2 linked regions of the Coturnix japonica genome follow. The protein of the gene in region 2 interacts with the protein of the main gene of each other region in a pairwise test. Links are inferred from orthologs where the notes say so. Each region holds a gene or a part of one and is shown on either strand. Other genes may lie near its edges.

Region 1 (4,103 bases), on a different chromosome or scaffold from region 2:
TACTGATCATATGTGCCTGGATATCCACGGGTGAAGTGCTCAGATGACCACAAGAAGCATGAATACTTTAAGCAGTGTACATCAAGGAAGTGTGAACCAACACTGTGACATCTGCAGAAATGAACATAAAATTGACATTAGGATGATTAAGCAAATAGAAAGGCTATCCTGCAGTAGGAAATTAAGAATGTTTAGTTTATTTAACCTGGGAAAACAGAATTGCTGAGAAGTTATTCTTCAACAGCAGATGTCTATTTGTCGTCTGTGATAGGAAGTGAGTTCTTTTAACTATAGAATAATATTGGCACAAGAAGAATAAACAGAAATGCTGTCTGAACTGAGGACTCGAATATGTATCTGTAGCTCATTTTTAGAGCTATCAATCAAATGCCTTCTTCAAATAGCAGTGGTTTGCTATGTGCCAGTATCTTACAGACTGCCTTGTCCTAAAGCCTGAATCATAAGCCAGGAATAAAATAAAATAAAATAAAATAAAATAAAATAAAATAAAATAAAATAAAATACAGGAAAAAAAAAGGTAATGTAGTTATCAATTAGATCCATATAGTCATGGAGCTACTCGGACACTGAAGAAATGCTTTAATAACTGAGTTATGGTTTAAGTGATTTAAATTGTCACGCTCAACTTAATGAAGAAAGGAAGTAATTTATCAGAGCTCATCCTTTCTTCCCCCCAAACTGAGAGTGAGGTGCTCTAGGAACGAGCATTATGGCCTATCCAAAATGTGTCTGTGCCAGGTACAGATGTGGTCCTGGTTCTGCAGGGTTGTAGTGCAGCTGCATGACAAAATGTCGTACTTCAGAGCAGAATTTACCATGGAAAGGAATGAAGTGGAGATGCAGAATAAATCTCACCTTCTCCTTTGTTTATTACAAAAACAGTCCATCTTTCCCACCAGCTTTACTTTGCAGGTGCATCCTGAGATGCTGTACCCGAGCAAACAGAGGGCTGCAATACACCCAAGCCTCAGGGGCAGAGAAGCTGTTTGTACTCAGCTACACTCTGCAGTCGGCGTGGACTGACTTAGCATGTGAAGCTCGTAACCGTGCTGTGTCATTAGCTGCCTGCGGACACAGTAGAGATGAAGGGTTGCAAAGTTCCCGATTCAATAAAATACTCGAGGAACGTGACGCATCAGAAAGCCTTCCCTGTGCTGAGCAACCCCGGATCGCGGTGCCATCGCAGTCTCTCCCCTCGCCGGGCGGTTGCGGGTTGGCCGCCAGAGGGCGCTTTGTTCCTGCACGGCGCGGGCGGAGGCGGAGCGAGGCGGGGCGCGGCCCGGCATGCAGCGCGGCGCCGTTTGAATGGCGCAGGCTGTGGGCGCTGGCTCCGGGTTGTAGCTTCCTGTCACAGTGTCTCCTGTCGGCGTGGGCCGTCCGGTACCATGAGCGGCAGGTGAGCGCGGCCGGGAGGGCCGCCGCGTCGGGAGGGCCGGCTGCGGGGGGTCCCTCGTGGCGGGGCCCCTCCTCGGCCCGGGGCGCGCCCACGGCGCTGCGAGACGGGCTGGGAGGAGCCGCGGCCGGGCCTTCCGCAGGCGGATCTCCGGGGCCGCTCGCTCGGGCCCAGCGCGGGGCGCCTCGCCAGGCCCGGCAGCTGTGGGCGGCGCGCAGGTGGGAGCGGGGCCGCCTCTACCGAGCTGCAGGGCACTGGCGGCCTCACCGCCCGTCTCGGCCGTGCCCGTGCGGGGCTCGGCGGGCGGCCCTGCGTCGGTTCGGTCGGGGATTCGCTTCGTCCTTTTTGTGAGACGACGGCGTCACCCCAGAGTCGAAACCGGCGTGTGCTCCCGTAGGCAGGCGGCGGGAGCGCGGCAGGGTTGTAGTGCTGCCCGGGGAGGATAATAGCAGGGGCGAGGCCTGCTGACTGGGCTCTGCGCCCTGGGTGTGACAGATGCCTTATTGCAGTGGGGAGGAGAGGGAGGGAACAAGACATCTTCATTTGCTTCGGGAGCCGGAGTTAATTGCTTTCTTAAAAAGACTTCAGATCTCTTTTTCTGTTGTGTTGGAGCGGCTTGGCTTGTCGTTCAGTGTAGACCTAACGAACTCTGAAGAGTGAAACCAGTTGGAGAGACTGTGTGATAGTTTTATCGAGGTGTTGTTGTTTTAGTAACGTGCTTTGCTATGGAGCAAGGATGAGTCCATTATTTGCTTAAAAACTGCTTTTTGGAAGAGGAATGTTGCCTTTCTCACTGCCTTGGTTTTTGTATTTCCCATTGTGTAGCTGCAGACAGAGAAGGACAAGAAGGGTGAGCCCTGCTGGAGAATTAAGCGTAGCAGATGGCAGACGAGTGGCTCTTGGTCCTTGCTGGGTGGAAAAAAACAAATTGTTTTAGTTTAAAGCTGTTACTTCATTATTAATCAGTGCAAATAACTTTGACTAAAATGTCAGTAACCTCGCTTCGCTGAATTCAAGTTAGCTTTATTTTTAGTTCCTAAGCTTTATAACTGAGAACACTTACTACATTTTAAAAATAGTATTAGTAGCTGTCATTACAGGAATATGTTTACATACATGAGTATCCTGTCTTGTAGTGTTACAGTAATTTATGTGAACTGCGTCCATAAGTTTTGCAGCTTCTCTTTTTGATTTATTTCGGTTAGAATAATAAGGATATCTTTTACTTAAAACGCTCTATATCTTGATCCTATGGTGAGGGACTTGAAGTTTGAATTAGGAAAGATCTTTTTAGATGCTTTTAGCATCTCATCATCAAAAGACACGCAGGGTGACATTAAGTGTAATCTTCAATGCCATGTGATCTGGAGCCGTGCAGTATAGGTAGGTGCAGGCTGCTTTTGGCCTCGTGGGGCTGTGTGGGTACCTGCAGCTCCATTAGGGCTGGAAGGGAAGTAGTTGCAGTGCACCTTTCTCAGAATTTGAATTTAAGATTCTTGCTACAGATTGGGGTTAAACAGCAAATAAGAGAAAAGCATTTGTTTTTTATGGGTGATTTCTTAAAGCTTGTTGACAGTCTTGATGTGAGAGTTTCAATGTATTTGAGCTCTGTTTTCTATCTAACAGCTGTCAGATAATGTTAACAATAGAAGTTTTCCAGCCTTGCTATTCCTGTGTTGTTAATAGGTGAAAATCAACAGGTGAAAAACATCCTTTCCTTATTAGAGGGCTGCTTCTATGATTCTGCTTTCCAGTGCTTTTTAAAATTGGACATGCCTTTAAATTGTACTTCCACGTGCAGAACATGGTGTGGTACTTTTACTACTCCTTCCTTTCCTGGAAGGAATATTTTCCTAGGAATCAGATGTTCAGTTATCAGACTTTGTAATAAGGGAGCTCTGCCCCATGCCTGGGTTCATCCTCCCCGAGCTTCACTGAACTCTGACTTGTGGTCACTTCCAAAGCCTCATTATGGCTGTTTATGACAGCAGGCCCCGAAAAAACTCCATGTCTGTGTAGTAGGAAGCTGAGCTTAAAAAATTGTTACAGCATTAATTTGTCACTCAAGCAGTATTTCTTTACTGCTGATTTAGCTGATGTTAATTTTTTCCTAATAAGTCACTTCAGATTGAAAGAAGGGACCTAACGGGTACATCTGGCTGAGATTCGTGCCCTGGTGATGTGAAAGGCTTGTCTTGTAGTGTTGCACAGAAACTTTGCATTGATGGTAATTCAAGGTTTTGAGGAATGCCTTTCTTAAGATAATTCAGTACGTAGCACTTAGTGAACAGTAATTACACAAAAATCTGTTTCATAATGAAAGTGTGTGGAAGATGTACAATAAGAGACGGATGGAATCTGTAGTATTTGTTGGTCGGACTTAGAATGGAAGGAAATGATGCCAAGTTTACTCAGTCTTCTGCCTCATAAGATAGCACTAATTTATTTCTCTAGACCAATTACCTTTTGGAATAACCATTATTGGAGATTTCCCATAAGCCTTTTCCATCTGATAATAATTAGTAAAATCACTTGCTCTTTCCTGGCTCTATGATGTGTGCCAGCTTCAAATGCCTTCAGATCTGGCACCTCCTCTCTGTGCGGAGTAACAAATAATTAACTTCGATCGATGTTGTCATCCTTGAGAACATGCTCTTGATATAACGTGAGGGGTGGGGGAGAAACCCCG
Region 2 (5,945 bases):
CTGCTGGCACTTTGCAGAAGGCAGCACTGCGCCAGGCACCCCCACCTGGGGGTGGGCTCAGAGACACCACTGCGCTGGGAGGAAGCGGGCAGCAGGGCAGGGAGATGGGGTAGGAAGGTCTGCGCGCACACAGAGCTGAGAAAGCCAAAGTGAAGGTAGCGGTGGCAGACGGGACAGCGGCTCAGCCCGGCGGTGCTCACTGAGCGGCCTCAGGGGGAGTGCGGGGAGCCTGGGCTGCCGCGGGGGCTGCGCTGCACGTGGCTGCGGTGGGATGGGAGGCTCTGCCCGCCCCGCACTCCCAGACACAACATCGGGCCGGGGATCCGGCGCTGACCTTGCCCCGCGGTGCAGCCTGCAGACAAACAGCAGCGGCACAACGTGTCTCTGTAACTTTATCTGCCTTCTGCCTTTGTCATCAATTGCCACGAGGCTGCTGAAGTATCACAGCTGCCATCTCCAGCCCCCATCTGCTCTGCAGCCACCCAGGGGAAAGGAAGCCCACCCGATCTGAGTGCGCTGCATGGGTTCTGAGCACACTTTGATTGCAGGACAGGCAGCAGAGCCCACACACTGCCCCCAAAGCCCCCTCACCACGTGCTCTAGCAGGCTGGGGGCATTCTCAGCTGTATCAGCCTGCGTCCCCTGCCCCAGACAGCCCAAACACCGCCTCTGCCACTCCCAGCCCCTCACTCCTGCTGCAGCCGTGTGCGGCTCCGTGGGACACAGGGCAGAGAAGCACACCAAAGGGTCAGGGCTGCTTCTTGTCACCGCATCAAACCCCTGAGGCACAGCATCGAAGCCAGCCAGGAAGCATTTTCCTGTTTGCTGAGGTCTTGAGTTTAGCTTCACCTGATCAGGACACGATGTGCTTTGTGTGCAATTCCTAAGCTTTCCTGTAACCATTGTGCCTAATTGTTTCACTCACTGAGTCATACATTGAAGCTCGCTCCTTGCCATGGTGACACGGGAACCATTAGGTAGGAACACGCTGTGATAACCACACAAAATTGATATCTCAGCTGATGACTGGGAGCGGAGCAGGAGCTGGGCACAGAGCTCTAATTGTCATCGGGACATCAAGGCCAGGAACACCAGGAAGGACTTGCCTACCCCCAAGCACTGCTGCTGCAGGAGCACAAAGCCACCAGTGCCCGAGGCAGCGGGACAACTGCAGCACTGGGGTCTGGCTGCACGCACAGCAGAATCACAGGGACCCTGGAGCGGCCAAAAGCTCTGCCTGGGCCTGCTCAGTGGCAGCTCTTCTCCTGCCACAGCACCAGCAGGGTCAGGCTTACCCAGGAGCTGTTGTGCCCAGGGGACCCACCCTGCCAGCACAAGGGAATGCTGAGGTCAGTCCCCAGGAGCAGGTCTCACTGCCTGGCACCCCCGTGCTGATTTCCCGGAAGATAAAACCTCTTCCCTTCTTTTGGGGAGGCACCGCAGCGCTGCAGACGCGGTTGTGGTGGCTGGTGACCCAGTTTTTCCTGGCTTCAAGAGAAATCTTATCTCCTGTGGTTGGCTGCTACCGCGTGGGCAGCTGCTACGAGTTGGCGCTGGGCTGCTTTCCTGCGAAACCCAACTGGTGTGTGAAGGGCTCTGACGTGAGCAGCAACAGCTGGGGCAGGAAACCTGCCCGCTTCCATGTAGGGGCTGCTCCTGCGGGTAATTCCCTCTGCCCTGGGCCGGTGCTGCGGGAAAGTCCTGGCAGCCAGAGGGCGGGGGACAGCCCGGGGAGAGCCCTGCAGAGCGATGGTAACCGGTAAATTCAGCACCGAGGTACGCCGCGCATTCAGCACGATGGTAACCCGGGCATTCCAAGCACCGATGGGCAACCCGTTTCAGCACCGTGGTAACCCGTATTCAGCACCGATGTAACCCGGTATTCAGCACCGATGGTAACCCGGTATTCAGCACCGATGGTAACCCGGTATTCAGCACCGACACTGAGCGCAGCCTCCAGCCGCAGCCACACGAGCAGCAGGGGCAGGACTCGGCAGCCGGCCCCGGGAATCCCGGGCAGGGACCCGGCGCGGGCCGGGGCTACGTGCGGCCGGCTCCGCAGCACGTCACCACTCCCGAGCCCCGAAGCGATGAGCGGAGAGATCACAGCGGGGCCGATCTGAGCCCTGAGGGGAACCGAGCCCTGAGGGGAACCGCCGCTGCACCGCGACCGGACCGGGCCGAAACCAGCTCCACATCCGGCCACAGGAGCCGGAAATGACCTCCACGCTGAGCGTCACTTCCGGCGGCTTGCGACGGTTCGGCGCGCGTTCACTTCCGGTACGCCGGCGGAAGCGGGAGTTGCAGTTCCGGGTGAGCGGTCGGTCTGTCGGTCTGTCGGTCGGTCGGTGCTGTGAGCGGCTGCGGTTCGTCCCGTCCCGTCCCGCCGCCATGTCGGCCCCCAGCGCTCTCGTGAAGCAGCCGCCCATCCAGTCCACGGCGGGCGCCGTGCCCGTCCGCAATGAGAAGGGTGAGTGCGGGGCGCCGGGAGGGGCGGGGGGCGCGGGCACGGCGGCGGCGTGAATGTTCATGGCATGAATGCACATGGCTGCCCATGGCGCCCTGCTCATGGCCCGGCTGCCCATGGCTGCCCATGGCTGCTCACGGCTGTTCATGGCCCGGCTGCCCATGGCGCCCTGCTCATGGCCCGGCTGCTCATGGCTTCCCGCTGCTGTTCCTCCCGCTGCTGTTCCCCCCCCTCCCGCAGGCGAGCTGTCTATGGAGAAGGTGAAGGTGAAGCGGTACGTGTCGGGGAAGCGGCCCGACTACGCGCCCATGGAATCCTCGGAGGAGGAGGACGAGGAGTTCCAGTTCATCAAGAAGGCGAAGGAGCAGGAGGTGGAGCCCGAGGAGCAGGAGGAGGAGGTCGCCAACGACCCGCGGCTGCGGCGGCTGCAGAACCGCATCACTGAGGACGTGGAGGAGCGGTGAGTGCTCGGCTCCGGGCTCTGCTCCCTCCTCGTGCTCCCCCCCAGCTTTGTGTTTCCGGGCTCCTGAGCACGCAGGGGATGCCTCTTTCCTTCACACGCTTCGTGGTCCCGGGTCTGACTACGGTCTCATTAGAAACAGATCGCAAAGATTTCTCTTCTTTAGTCTCCTTGTGTTCAGAGCTTCGTAGTCGAGTGGACATTTGTTGCAGGCTGGCAAGACACCGCAAAATTGTGGAGCCTGAAGTGGTCGGAGAGAGTGATTCTGAGGTAGAAGGTGAAGCGTGGCGTGTGGAGAGAGAGGACACCAGTGAAGAGGAAGAGGAAGAGATCGATGATGAGGTTCGTTATATTGCTGAGCAGATGTGGCCTGGGAAAGTCCCCTTAGGCCCTGTCTGGAATTCGTGCTTGCAGACACACGTGAACTGTGGTGAGACTGGGTGGATGTTGGGACCTGAGTTAAAGCCAGCTGTGGTGTGACCACAGCCTGTGGGTTATGGGGCACCAGGGAGGTCACCTGCGTTCTGAGGTGTGGGCTTATATAAGCAGTCAACATCATATCATATAAGCTCAACATCATGCTTTTTATATGGAAAAAGGAAGGAAGCGATAGTGGGGCTGGTTGGCTGAGTCTGTGTTTGATGTGTCTCCATTAGGAGATCGAGCGTCGGCGTGGGATGATGCGTCAGAGAGCGCAGGAGAGAAAAACTGAGGAGCTGGAAGTGATGGAGCTGGAAGATGAGGGCAGATCTGGAGAAGAGTCTGAGTCAGAGTCTGAGTACGAGGAGTACACAGACAGCGAGGATGAAATGGAGCCACGTCTCAAACCTGTCTTCATCCGCAAGTAGGTGATAAGGTGATACAGCTGCATGGGCCAAGCACTGCATCAGGGATGGGCAGTGACTGACCTGGTAGGGCATGGCTGGGTACTTCCAACTGGGGACTTTAGGCAGGTACAGCACAACAGAAACCAGGTAGTGTGCTCCAACATGTTCCACAGCCAGTAGCAGGGTCTCCCATCACCTTTGTGCATGTCTGCAGATGTGAGGAGACTGAGTATGGTCGCTCTTGAATGAGCAAAATCAGAAAGGAGAGAGCCTTGGGACTTGGCCCTGCCGTGGGGGGCATAAAGACTAAAAGAGGCTGCAGTGGGAGCAGAGGTCTGCAGTGGCATGTTGAAAGGCTGAAGGCTTTTGTGGTCCCTGCTCACAGGAAGGACCGGATCACAGTTCAGGAGCGAGAAGCAGAAGCCTTGAAGCAGAAGGAGCTAGAACAGGAGGCAAAGAGATTAGCAGAAGAGAGGCGCAAGTACACACTCAAGGTACAGCGGGGCAGACTGGGGCATGCATGTTGGGGCAGCCATTGCAGTGAGCTGAGCTTGGTCTTGGCTTCAGATCGTGGAAGAGGAGGCAAAGAAGGAGCTGGAAGAGAATAAGCGCTCGTTGGCAGCACTTGATGCTCTCGATACAGACGATGAGAATGATGAGGAGGAGTACGAGGCTTGGAAAGTACGTGAGCTGAAGCGCATCAAACGGGATCGTGAAGAACGAGAAGCGTAAGTACTGTCTGCTTAAGGCAGGGGAGGGTCCCTGCAGTCCCAGGCCCTGCAGGACAGCGGGCAGTTGAGGCGTCTCTTTCTCAGTCTTTGTTTTGGCAGCATCAGGAATTTTCTTGAGGTGCTTTACTCCATTATGGAGTCAGTCAACGTATTCGTCAGAAAGTCCCGGGTGGCAGCAGCTGTCCCATCTTGGGAGGGCACTGAGGGATGCAGGGGCTCAGGGTTTCTCTTTTGCCCAGCATGGAGAAAGAGAAGGCAGAGATCGAGCGGATGAGGAACCTGACAGAGGAGGAGCGCCGTGCCGAGCTGCGAGCCAACGGCAAAGTCATCACCAACAAGGCAGTGAAGGGCAAATACAAGTTCCTGCAGAAGTACTACCACCGTGGCGCCTTCTTCATGGTGAGTTCTGCTGCCAGGCCTGGGGCTGCGTGGACCACGTGGCTGTTTTGGGGGAGTTTTCCCTAGTGGTACCCAAGTAAGGGCTGGCCAAGCACACAGGACCAGAGCTGGCCCTCAACAGCAGCGTGCTGCTGAAGTGACTGAGGGGATCTGAGGTGCCTGTCAGGTCTGGCAGGCAGGGTGAGTAAAGACACGAATGCAGTTCGTCAGGGACTTGCTGCATGGAGCAGCAGTCCCAGGACAGCTGGTTCTCGGTAGCTCTTCTCCACTTGTCTTCTACTGACACTTGCTGGAAACTTGCAAGTCAAGCAGGTGTGTCCTTCCTCCGCAGGACGAAGATGAGGAGGTGTACAAGCGGGACTTCAGTGCCCCTACCCTCGAGGACCACTTCAACAAAACTATCCTGCCCAAAGTCATGCAGGTGGGTGTGTGGCAGGTCTGTGCGCTGCCCCAGCTCCACCAGTGCTGCTCAGCTGGGGCTCGTGGGATCGGTGGGATCTCACGAGGGAAGGAGCAGTGACATGATAGGGTCCCCACATCGTACACCAACTGATGCTCACAATCTTTCCTGCCTCCCAGGTCAAGAACTTTGGGCGCTCAGGACGGACAAAGTACACGCACTTGGTAGACCAGGATACCACCTCGTTTGACTCTGCCTGGGGCCAAGAAAGTGCACAGAACACTAAATTCTTCAAGCAGAAAGCAGCAGGCGTGAGGGATGTCTTCGAGAGACCCTCGGCCAAGAAGCGGAAGACCACTTAAGGGAGCAGACAGGAGGGCGTCCTGTGGCTGACTGGGCAGAGAGGCACTGCTTTATCAGCTGCCTGAGAGCCTGGGCAGGAACAGCAGGGACAAAACACCGCACCAGGACTCGTGCCACAATCAGCTGTCCCTCTGGGCCCTTGCACTGCATCCTCCCTGTTAGTTGGTGGCATGATCCATGACCTATACTGCAGAGACTCGGCAGACTCCCATCGCTGGTTCTTGTGGCAGATGACTTCCAGCCATGCTGAGCAGCCTCATGGTCATGTCACCACCCCACCAGCCTGCGAGAGCCTTGG

Evidence for each region.
Region 1: the proteins of MFAP1 (region 2) and KATNBL1 interact in binary tests that used the Homo sapiens proteins (3 or more experiments, as listed by UniProt). The link is inferred for Coturnix japonica from reciprocal best matches to the Homo sapiens genes MFAP1 and KATNBL1.

Annotation. Positions count from the first base shown.
Region 1 is NC_029520.1:26,556,430-26,560,532, reverse strand, and holds the start of KATNBL1 (KATNB1-like protein 1), read left to right. Parts: upstream 1-1,303; 5' UTR 1,304-1,417; intron 1,418-1,697; exon of another isoform or gene 1,698-2,797; intron 2,798-4,103. Other genes in the region: uncharacterized protein LOC107314916, read right to left, coding at 4-111, 877-908.
Region 2 is NC_029525.1:18,262,706-18,268,650, forward strand, and holds the start of MFAP1 (microfibrillar-associated protein 1), read left to right. Parts: upstream 1-2,284; 5' UTR 2,285-2,391; coding exon 2,392-2,470; intron 2,471-2,707; coding exon 2,708-2,927; intron 2,928-3,139; coding exon 3,140-3,269; intron 3,270-3,583; coding exon 3,584-3,771; intron 3,772-4,139; coding exon 4,140-4,248; intron 4,249-4,321; coding exon 4,322-4,482; intron 4,483-4,724; coding exon 4,725-4,884; intron 4,885-5,215; coding exon 5,216-5,305; intron 5,306-5,463; coding exon 5,464-5,646; 3' UTR 5,647-5,945. UniProt on the Homo sapiens protein: Involved in pre-mRNA splicing as a component of the spliceosome.